Linked DNA regions of Sus scrofa. The protein of the gene in region 1 interacts with the protein of each later gene in a biochemical or structural test. Links are inferred from orthologs where the notes say so. Each region holds a gene or a part of one and is shown on either strand. Other genes may lie near its edges.

What was found. The genes of interacting proteins can lie anywhere in the genome.
Region 2: the proteins of EVL (region 1) and RAD51 form a complex in vitro, tested with the Homo sapiens proteins (2 studies listed by BioGRID and IntAct). The link is inferred for Sus scrofa from reciprocal best matches to the Homo sapiens genes EVL and RAD51.
Region 3: the proteins of EVL (region 1) and APBB1 form a complex in vitro, tested with the Homo sapiens proteins (2 studies listed by BioGRID). The link is inferred for Sus scrofa from reciprocal best matches to the Homo sapiens genes EVL and APBB1.

What each region holds. Positions count from the first base shown.
Region 1 is NC_010449.5:120,986,828-120,990,573, forward strand, and holds the start of EVL (ena/VASP-like protein), read left to right. Parts: upstream 1-1,423; 5' UTR 1,424-1,557; coding exon 1,558-1,568; intron 1,569-3,746. UniProt on the Homo sapiens protein: Ena/VASP proteins are actin-associated proteins involved in a range of processes dependent on cytoskeleton remodeling and cell polarity such as axon guidance and lamellipodial and filopodial dynamics in migrating cells.
Region 2 is NC_010443.5:130,637,252-130,640,937, forward strand, and holds the start of RAD51 (DNA repair protein RAD51 homolog 1), read right to left. Parts: upstream 2,858-3,686; 5' UTR 2,627-2,857; intron 1-2,626.
Region 3 is NC_010451.4:3,302,310-3,306,055, reverse strand, and holds the start of APBB1 (amyloid beta A4 precursor protein-binding family B member 1), read right to left. Parts: upstream 2,710-3,746; 5' UTR 2,567-2,709; intron 1-2,566. UniProt on the Homo sapiens protein: Transcription coregulator that can have both coactivator and corepressor functions. Adapter protein that forms a transcriptionally active complex with the gamma-secretase-derived amyloid precursor protein (APP) intracellular domain.

The sequences.
Region 1 (3,746 bases):
AGATCCACTGTTGTGGTTTGAGATTTTAATACCTTAGTCTCAACTGTTGATAGAACAATGAGATAAAAATAAACCAACAGCAAACCAGTAAAGACGTAAGAAGATCTCAAACACACTATTAACCACCTTGACCTAATTGACGTTTTGGACCCTGCACCCAGTTTCAGAACACGCCTTCTTTTCACCAAGATAGACCTCCTGCTGGGCCATCCGGCAGGTCTCCCTACATTTAACAGGACTGCAGCCATACCAGGAAAACAAAAGACTTAGACTAAGTATGTTTCAGAAATAAACAGCAGAGGAAGGATAACAATGACTCTTTCGCAATTAAAGCACTTCTAAGTAATCCGTGGGTAAAAGAAGAAACCAGGAGTTCCTGCTGTGGCACACAGGGTTAAAGATCCAGCATTGCCTCAGCTGTGGCCCAGGTGGCATTGCAGCCCAGATGCATTCCCAAGCCTGGGAACTTCCATATGTCTCGGGTGCGGCCAAAAAAAAAGAAGAAGAAAACGCAGAGGGAAATAGAAAATATCTTGAATTAAGAGAAAATGAAAACCACAGTGTGTCAAAGTTTGACTGGCACCTAAAGCGGTGCCAAAGGAGGTGTGTCTCTGAAACCCTTTGAAAAGGGATGTTCGGCATTCAGTGCTTCCAGCCCTCTGGTTAGGACCGATCTTTCTCTTGCCCTGTGCTCGGTATATTTGCCTCGATAGCAGTAGCAACTGTTGGACGCACCCCTCTGCTCACCTATCGGTCCCTTCCTTTCTAAACCTTAAGAGCCCTTTAAGGACAAGTGCTGCTGTTGCTGGCACTGTTTTGTCTCTCATTTCTAGTACAATGCATGACACTTTGTGGGGTCTCTGTGAGCTCTGCACGGAAGCTCGCGAGTGGAGCGGATGCGCCCGAGCGCCGGGCGAGGGTTCACAGACTGAGCATCCGCAGCCCCACCTTAGAGCTGAGAAAGCAGCCGCCCGGCCGGGGTCGGTGGAGCCAGCGACCAACCCACGTTCCCGTTGGTCCTCAGACATTTTCCTTCCAGCCCTGAGGTGCTGACAGAAACCTCACCGGGGGTGGTGAGACCCGTCTTCCAGCCGGAGGGCAGGATTTATTCCCGAGTCAAACGGGAAGCCTCAACCGGCTGTCAAAAGCATTGAGTCGTCTGTGGGCTCTGCAGGTTGGACCAGGGGGCCCTTCCACAAAGGCCCTGGGAGGACAGGGCCGACGGCTCTCCTGCCGGGGGGCCCCCCGCCTTTCCCAGAGCCCACTCAGTCTGCAGAAAGTGCTGGAACTTGAGGCCTCAGGCGCGGCCCCACGGGGAGGGGGCGGGGGCCCTGCACCACGAGAGCCTCTCGTTTCTCTATTTTCTACCTCGGTTTCAGTTCTTAACTGGCGTTTGTTTCCCCTTTGTCTCTGGTTCATCTTCCTTTTCCTGTTTGGCTCTAAGCAGAGCCTCAGCGTCACGTCGCTGCCTCCCCGGGGTCCGTGGCCCTCTGGTCAGCGGGCCCAGTGGGATCCACGACCCACCGCCTCGCTGCTCCGTGCCGCAGCCACGCAGCCATGGCCACCGTGTGAGTATGGGGACCAGGGGACAGGGGCGTCCGGAGGAGACCTGGAGCCGTGATAGCAGAGAGCCGAAGGCCCTGGAAACCCTCCCAGACCCGCAGGTTGCACGCATGGGGAGACCAGCTGTCACACCGCAGGTCGTGCGGAGCCCGCGCGCGCTCATCTGCGGGTCTGGCCGCCACACCGGCCCGGGTCCCTCGATGGCTGTTGTCTTTAGGCACTTTGTGTGCGTTTGGAAAGCGCCGCCTCAGAAGTCCAGGTGGCGGAGGGGGCTCTGAACCATGTGAGGGGGTTGGCATTCGGCTCAGAGGTGCTCCGATGGGTCCTGGGTTCTCCTCTGGGAATGGCCTGAAGACACTCGAGCGGTTTTCTCTCAATACTGGGCAGGAGGGAAGAAGTGGGGTACGCTTTGTAGTGGAAACTTCATGGGCCGTAACAGCAGGACCCCAAACGTCTGCTTTAGACACCTGTGGCTGACTTTGGGCCACCGGTCACTTAGACTGTTGTGGTTTCACGTGCATGTGGGCACCAGCCTGTTTGCGTCCTGCACATGTAACTTCTAAAAGTGAGATTGCGTTTTAGACATGCCTCTCCCTGCCCTGCAGCTCCATGAAAGACAATGGGCCACAGAGCAGGCTTTCATCCCCTGGAATCGGGGGCATTTGCCTGGTCCACTCCTTGCAGCTTTGCGTCTTAGCACAGAATTGTCATCCTGCTCCTTAAAGTTACTTCCCAGTTCCCACACTGCAGTTTGACCCATTCCCTTATCTGATGCTTCCAGCCTTGTTGGGTGGGTCAGCTCAGGGAGGGGATACTGGTGTCCTGTGGAGGAGGAGGCCTGGCCTCTGACGGGCCATGGCGCTTGCTCAGGGTTGCTTAGGAGGAGAAGCTTCCAGGACATGGGCCAGGCTCTCTGGGAGTGCCTTGCAATGCCTTGTGAAAGTGGATGGTGCGGGGAGTAGGGCTGGTGCCATGCTCCTGGTCAGCGGGGGAGCTCTGGGGAGGGCAGTGCTCCCGCCTCAGAGCGCAGCCTTGGCCAGGTGCTGGAGTCACTGCCTCCAGGCCCAGCGCTCATAGAGCCAGGGCAGGTGCTGTGTTTACAGTTGGCTCTGTTCCTGCTCCCTTGCGGCCATGTTTCCCATCATTTTAGTCATTTTCCTTGAGCCTTAGAAGGTTTGTGGGTGGAGCTGTGGAAAACAAGACTTTCCATTTCAAAGGCCTGTTACCTTCCAAAGTGGGCAGGAACCAGTCATCTTCAGCTGAAAGTTACACCATGAAAAGCACAGTGTATCCTGTCAGCTGCCATTGCAGAAAATACCGTCAGAAGTAAGTGAGGAGGAAGCAAAGCAGGTGTCAAAAATCCTTGAATTAAAAGTGTGGAAATCTTGGAGAGCCCATTGTGGCTCAGTGGTTGGCGACCCCGACTCGCATCCATGAGGACACGGGTTCGATCCCTGGCCTCGCTCAGTGGGTTAAGGATCTGGTGTTGCCGTGATCTGTGGTATAGGTTGCATACGCAGCTTGGATCCCACGTTGCTGTGGCTCTGGAGTAGGCGGTCGGCTACAGCTCCGATTCGACCCCTGGCCTGGGAACCTCCGTATGCCACGGGTACGGCCCTAAAAAGACAAGAAAGACAAAAAAGAAAAAAGAAAAGGTATAGAAATCCTAGGCGTTTCCATATTGAAAGCAGCTGAGAGCCCATCCAGCGTGGACTGTGTAGGTTAGTGGTGCCTTAGGCATCGCACCCGCCACTTCAACCAAATTTACTCTCTTTTATCTTTTTTAAGCAGTCCTCAATATTTCTTTGAGGAAAAAAATTGTATTTTGCTGGTGATAATTTTGAAATCTGAAAATGATTTTTTTTAGTCCAGCTCTGGGGCACCCAGGTCGGGCCGTCGAGGCAGCGTTTGTCTTGAGCGAGTTGGCCCCGTCCAGCCACTGCGAAGCCGCCCTGCACAGCCGCTGTAAGGCCCGCAGCGTTTGCTTGGGCACATGCTTGCCCGGCTGAGCTGGAACAGCTGGATTCCTCAGTCGCCGTGGCGCCTGAGCCAGCGGGGTCCCCAAAGGCCTCAGGGTCCCCAAAGGCCTCGGCGCCCTGAGAGCACGTCAGCCCATCCTGGCCAGCCATCCGCCAGGAACTGCGTTCTGAGCGCCAGCGCGTACGGTGCACCCTCTCCGTGTG
Region 2 (3,686 bases), on another chromosome or scaffold:
AGGGGTATACGAAAAGTCAGATTAATATGATAAGAGTTAAGATTGCTCAGTTTGAAAAGAACGGAGAACAAAAAAATGTTAAATATCTTCTTGAGGTATTGTAAAAGCAAACAAGTATTGATGTCCACAAGAATAAATGGACTCAAATCACACCACAACAAGCTGGACAATTTAACAATAGGATAAATTTAACTCAAAAGAAAACAGACAAGAGTTCCTGCTGTGGCATAACAGGTTAAGGACCTGGAGTTGCCACAGCTGTGGCACAGGACACAGCTGTGCCTGGGATTCAATCCATAGCCCAGAAACTTCCATATGCCACAGGTGCGGGAAAGAAAGAGAGAAAGAGGGAAAGAGAGAAAAAAAGAAAGAAAAGAGAAAAGGAAAATAAATCTCCATTCTTGGACTTGAAAGATGACATTTGTTCTTGAGTATTTCAAGTACAGCTCTTAGACTGAGGATTTAGCATAATGTGATCTATAATTCCAAATATCAGGATCACCTGAATGCAATTTAAATATCTCCCTTTGTAATTTATGAAAAAGGTGGCTTGAACTGCACACGTAAAGCAATAATCAAAAAGGAAAAGACTGGAAAATTAGACTATATTTAAACTTAGAACTCCTGTTCATCAAAATACACCACTGAAAGAATGAAAAATGCGAGGAGAAAATATTTACCACAAAAATAAACTGTTATACTTACCACAATTATGAATATAAAGGGCTGATAACCAGAATACATAGAGAATTCTTTCAAATCAATAAGAAAGACAACCCAGTAGAAAAATAGGCAAGAGATGTGAACAAGCACTTCATAACAGAAGATACCCCAGTGGCTAATAAACCTATCAACAAATGCTCAACTTCATTAATCAAGAAAATTAAAATTAAAACCATTATATAATAGCTAAAATTTAAAAGACTGACAATGTTAGCCAATGTGTAGGATAACTAAACACTCATTCACCGCTGGTTTAAGTGTAAATTAGACCACTTTAGAAAACTAGTATTAAATATGGAAGGTGAAAATAGACAAATGCTGGAGTTCCCATCGTGACTCACCTGTTAACAAATCCAACTAGTAACCATGAGGTTGCATGTTCGATCCCTGGCTTTGCTCAGTGGGTTAAGGATCCAGCGTTGCTGTGGCTGTGGCATAGGCTGGTGGCTACAGCTCTGATTGGTAGCCTGGGAACCTCCATATGCTGCAGAAGAGGCCCTAGAAAAGGTAAAAAGACAAAAAAAAAAAAAAAAAGAAAGAAAGAAAAGATAGACAAATGCCATGACCCAGGAATTTCACTACTCTGTGTTATTAACCAACTGCAAACCATACACGTGTGCACCAAAATGTATGTGGGAATGTTCTCCACAACCTTTCTCATAAAAGCTGAGAAGCAGAAAAAAATCCAGATATCTACCACAGGTAAAATGAGTAAGAAATACAATACAGCAACCAGAAAGAACTACTGCCAAATGCAAAGACGTATGAATCTAAAGACAAAATGTTGAGCAAAGCCAGACATGAAAATATACAGTATTACTTACATAAAACTCAAAAACAGGAGGTCCCGTCGTGGCTCAGTGGTTAACGAATCCGACTAGGAACCACGAGGTTGCAGGTTCGATTCCTGGCCTTGCTCAGTGGGTTGGGGAGGCGTTGCTGTGCCTGTGGAGTAGGCTGGCGGCTACAGCTCCGATTCGACCCCTGGCCTGTGAACCTCCATATGCCATGGGTGCAGCCCTGAAAAGACAAAAGACAGAAAAAAAACCCTCAAAAACGGAGAAATTCCCTTATGGTTTAGGAGGTTAAGGATCTGGCGTTGTCCTGCTGTTGGGCGGGTTCCATCACTGTCCTGGGGCTGTCCCTGGTGCGGCCAAAAATCAAAACCAGGCAAAATTAGTCAACGGTGTTAGCCGTCTGTCAACTAGTTAGCTCTCGGGAGAAAGGAGAGTATTAGATAAGGGGGCACAAGGGAGGCTTCCGGGGTGCTGAGAAAAATCTATTTCTGACATGAGTGGTGATTACACAGGTATATATTCGTTTTATAACGATTCATGAAGCTGTATACACTTTCGATCTGTACACTTTTCTATATTACACTTCACTTTAAAGTTTAAGGAAAAAAACAACAAACCTCGCTACAGATCATTCCCTAGGCATCACGTGAAAGGTCTCCCACATCAGACAATTCAAATATCTTTTGGGCAACTGGAGGTGGGTATTTTGTAAGCTAAACTTTGTGTTATGGAAAAGGGACTGACCAGAAATCCGGAAACCCTGGCTCTGGCTTAACAGTTGTGATTTTAAGGCTCTACACTTCTCTGGGTCTTGGCTTCCTGGCCCATGCCCAGAAAGTGGATGTTGGAAGTGAAGGCCTCTAAGTTCCTCCCAGCTCCAAAGACTAGAGTGAGCTGCTATTTTCGCCACAAAGAGCTGCCAGGGTCAGATCTGCCAGGGCACATCCCAGCTCCGCCCCGCCTTCTCCGACTTTCTCAATTGGCGCGGAGGGGCCCGCAAGCCGGCGGCGGGAGCTGGAGCCCGGGGCCTGGGTCCAGTCCGAGTCCGGCTTACCCCTAGCCAAACCCCGCGATGGGAAGGGGCCGGGTCCGCGCCTCACACTCACCTCGGCCTGCAGCGCTACCCGCTCTGGCCGGCTGAGCGTTCCGAACCTCAGTCCGCTGGACCCGCGCGCGCTCGACCCCGGACGGAGTGCAGAGCCCCTCGCAGCGTCCACCTCTCTACTCCCCTGCTCCGGCCTTCGGCACGGAATACACGAAACTTCTCAGCTCCCAGCTGCGCGTCTGAGCTCTCCTCAGACCTCGGTCTCAGGCCGCAGCGCGCGCCGAACCTGCAGCCTTCGGAAATCCCGCCAAATGCTATTGGGCAGGGTCACGTCCGCGTCAACGTAACGTCTCCCCGCCCCTCTCGGATCCGCCTTCCTCCCCTTTGGCCAACGTTCTTGAGACCCAGAGATAGGGCCCAGACCTTGCAGAAGGTTATGGATTTCCCTCTTCTTTTTCCCACAAGGACTAATTCAAAATTTGGAAGTCGCCTCCTTCTTCCTTTTACGAAACCAAGGACTACAACTCCCAAGAGGTAGTGGGTCGGCCCCAAACTACGTCTCCCAGTGTGCACTGCGGGCGGGCTCCTCAGCCCCTCTGGGAAATACGTAGGTTCTTGAGAGCTTTTCTTGATTTGTTAGGTATCTAAGCTGGGGCATTTGGCCCTTCAGATTTCTCAGAGCCCCTGACTCTCCAATTCCAGAGCCAGGCGCTCCCTGGCCCTTGTAGGTGGTGGAGCTGAGGACCCTTGAGTAGATGGATGAAACTGGAACACAGAGCTAGTGAAGGAGAAAGAGGAACACCTGAAATATTAGTCAGGCTGTGGTACTTTACTGGAGATTTGCAGAACTGCAAGGAAGGGAACATTGATTTTGAGACTATAAATCTTACCGTAGTTTGCTAGAAAGTTTATTCCGGTTTTAAAGGGTGAGCAGGGTTTTCCTGGGCGAAGAATAGGAGATGGAGTACAAGTGGATGGAGTAGTATGGGTATGGAAATTAACAACAATAGTCAAGGAATAGCATTCTCTGATGAGGGAAGAAAAGTGTCTTAAGAGATGCTGAGACTGTTAAACTACATTTAGCTCAGGCTATGAAAAGGCTTAAGACCATGATGGAGCTT
Region 3 (3,746 bases), on another chromosome or scaffold:
GGGCCCCTCCCTGAGCTCCAGATACACTCAGTCGGCGGCCTACTCACCACCCCACCTGGAGGTCTCAGAGGCCTCTCAAACCCACACACCCGTTCCTGTTTCTCTCTGCCATCCCCTAACTGGTCCCCGTTCAGGACGCCGGCTCAGGGAATGACAGGACCAACCATCCTGCTGCCTATACCAGAAGGAGGGGACCATTCCAGACGCGACCGTCCCCTCGCGCTGCATATACTCAATCCATCCCCAGGTCCTGACAATTTCTCTCCAAGAGAAAACTCTGGACTTGATCCACTGTCCACATCCACTACCGACAACTGTCCACCCCAAGGACAAGGACCTTAAGATTAAAATTCTCAACATGGCTTCAACTGTCCAGCTCAGTCTGGCCTCTGCCTTCCTCTCCAGCTCTGGCACTCTGCTGTCCAGCCGCGCTGGCCTTCTTTTGATTCCTCGAAGACACTGTGCCCTCTCCCTCCAGAAGGTGTCTGCGTGCGATTCCCCTTCTCCCGGGAACGTCCTACCCTCCCAGCCTGGCCCTAGTAACCGTCCTCTACCTCTTAGTTCCAGCAGCATGTTCTCAGCGAAGCCTTCCTTCCCCCCTCCTCCCCCAGATCAGTGTAGCCTGTGCTCGCTGGTGCTCTCAAGGCAACACCCCCCCCCCCGTGGTATTTGTTAAATTTGCAATCTTATTCTTATCTGATTCCCCCTGGACTGTCAGCTGCGGGGTATCAGATAAAGGCGGACACAGACGCAGTCCATTGTGCTCGAAATTATACCATCAGTGCCTAACAGTACCTGGTATGTATTACGTGTCCAAAACGTATCTGCTGCGTGAATAAATGATTAGATAGACCCCTTTTTTCCTTTTAGGGCTGCAGATGCGGCATACGGAAGTTCCCAGGCTAGGGGTTGAATTGGAGCTGCAGCTGCCAGCCTACACCACAGCCACAGCAATGCTGGATCCTTAACCCACTGAGCATGGCCAGGGATCGCACCTGCATGCTCGTGGATATCAGTCAGGTTCAACGGAACTCCTTATTTTATTTTGTTTTTTTAAGGAAAACACTATATTAGAGTATTAAGGGGAGGGAGGCAGCAGGGTATAGGCTCTCAGAGCGATCAAGGGAAAGAGGAGGCGGGGGTTATGGCCTAGGTTAAGCTTGGTGGCAGTGGGTGAGATGGAGTGAAATGAATGCATTTGAAAATCACTTGGGTAGTGGATGTGACAGAATTTGATGACACGAGACGTAGCGAATGAGAGAGAGAGAGGTTCATCTAGACTGTAGCCCAGGATTCCAGTTTGGTAACTGATTGGGAAGTAGCCATTTCTGAGAGTTGAAGGAGGAGTCGATTCAGAAGAACAGCAGAAAGGGAACACGGGGAGGACAACACAGCTTGGGATCTGTAAGTCTGGAATTCCTGTTGGACTTTCAAGGGGATGTCAGGAGGCCAGGTGGAGGCTGAGTCTGGAGTTCAGGAAGAGATCTGGGCAAGATAGATAAGGCTGGGAATTATATTTCTATATATAAGTGGAATATATATATAATGGAATATATATATATAAATGGAATATATATATATATATAAATGGAATTGGAGGCCTTGAGAGTGAACGAAATACCTGAAGAAAAGGTGCCGAATGAAAGAAGATAGCCCAGGAAAGAAGCAAGAATCTCACCACCATCGAAAGGGAGGGAAGGAGGGAGCAAATGAGATGGAGAAGGAGCAGACAATGCTGCAGGGGAGACCAGGAAAATGTTTCAAGGAGAGTGACGTCCCCCACGAGTGCTCGGAAACGTGAGGGGATAGCAGGAAAGCATCCACTGGGGTTGGCCACATGGAAGTCTCCAGTGACCTTGGCTAGAGCAGTTTCCGCGGGTGCCAGAGGCAGAGGATGGAGTGAAGTGGCTTTAGGAATGAATGGGAAATGAGGAAATAAACACAGCAAGCGCAGAGGAGGAACCCGCTGTAAGGACGGGAGGGAGCTGGACTCTGCGGAGGGGCTGGGAATGCAAGCAGCAGCACGGGCAGATGCAAAACTGGTTCGAATACCCTCCGCATTGGCAGTGGGAAAGCGGCTCCTAGGGAGCGCTCCTGCCAGCGCTAGGCCTCCCCGAGCCCTGGGGACACAGCCGGCGCCAGGGCACACCCCTCGGTCGCTGAGGGCAACAGAATGCGGCTTGACAGATGCCAGGCCTGGGACCCTGCAGGAATCCCTGCGGCCTGTCTGCCTGCCTCACCCCGCGTCCCCCTCCCCGTCCTAGACCTCCCCTCCCCCACCCCCACCGCCCCCCTCTTCCCGTTCCCCCTTCTCGCTTCCTATTCATCCCGGAGAGGCAGGAGGTAAAGGTCGGGGAGGGGACGGGGTGAGGACCGAAGTGGGGTCGGACCTGGTAAGGGAGGAAGAGATTGGGGGGGTCGGAATAGGCGGCGGGAGGGCCGCCTGCCCGGACCGGGCCTGGCCGGGGGACAAGGGGCGCCACAGGGCTCCGGCTGCGGGGTCCGCCGGCCGCCGGGGACCGGGATCCGAGCGCCCGGGCTGGGCCTCGGCAGGGGCAGCTCCTACCTGCGCGGGGAGGCCCCAGGCCCAGGTGGCGGAGGTGGCTCAGGCTGCGGGGCTCGGGCTCCGCGGCGGCTTCTCCATCACAACATCCCCCGCCCAGGAGCGCGCGGGCCGCGGGGCCGCGCCCGGAGCGGCGGGGGCGCGCGCCGGGCCGGGCTGGGGGAGGGGCGCCATCTTGGGCCGGGCGCGGGCGCGAGCGCGGGCGCGGGCGCGAGCCCCCCGCGGGCCCCTCCCCACGCGGCCTTGGGGCCTCGGGGAGCCGCGCCGCCCCGGCGCCCTCGCCCGCCGCCGTCCCCGCGCCCGGCCCCCGGGTCCCCGGGCGCTGCCCCGGCCTCGGCCGCCCCCCGCCCGCCCTCCGCCGCGAGGCCCCGGACTCACCGTGCGCGCCTGTCCGGGCCTCGGCCCCGCACCCCGGCGGGGCGACGCGCCACGGGGATGGAGCGGGAGCGGCGGGGCCGGGGCGGGCGCGCGGGCAGCGGCGCGGAGGAGGCAGCCTGCGGGGCCCCGGCGGCAGCCCTCCCTGGCGTGCTGGTGGAGCGGCGAGGCGCACGCGGCGTGGGCGGTAATAATAGTAGCCGGTGTCTCTCGACCGCTCACGCCGTGCCAGGCGCGGCGGTGAACCCTTCCCACGCGCTCGTCCTCACAGCGGCCCTGTGCAGTCGCCGCGGCGACCGTCCTCAGTTTTCCTGGGCAGGTGCTCAGGTTCAGGAAGGTAAAGCGACTTGCCCGCGGTCACAGGTAAGCGGGGACCTCACGCTGGAACCCAGGTGTTCCCTCACCCCCACCCTGTCGTCGAACACGATCGCGTGACACCAGGGCCTTGCAGACGTGGCAGATGAATTGCTCTCCAGTGGAAGCTCCCGGGAGGGAGGGAAGAAGGCAGAACGTGGACGACAGGCGTAAGCAGGGAATGGGGCGGCCCAGTGTTGCACAGCGGCCCGGATGGTGGGCTAGTTCCCAGCGGGCAGGTCAGTGGCCCAGAGGCCATCGAGGCTGGTGAGGGGGGAGATTACCAGCCAGAAACCCTCTTCTGGCTCATTCCTCCAAGACAGGTTTTCATTTCTTATACCTACGGAATATTGAGCAAGCGACTCAAGATGTCCTCAAAGTGCCGAAAACTAAAAATGCCAAATCTAAATTCATTGTCTCATCTCCTTCTTTACTGACCTTCTAAGAAGTTTCA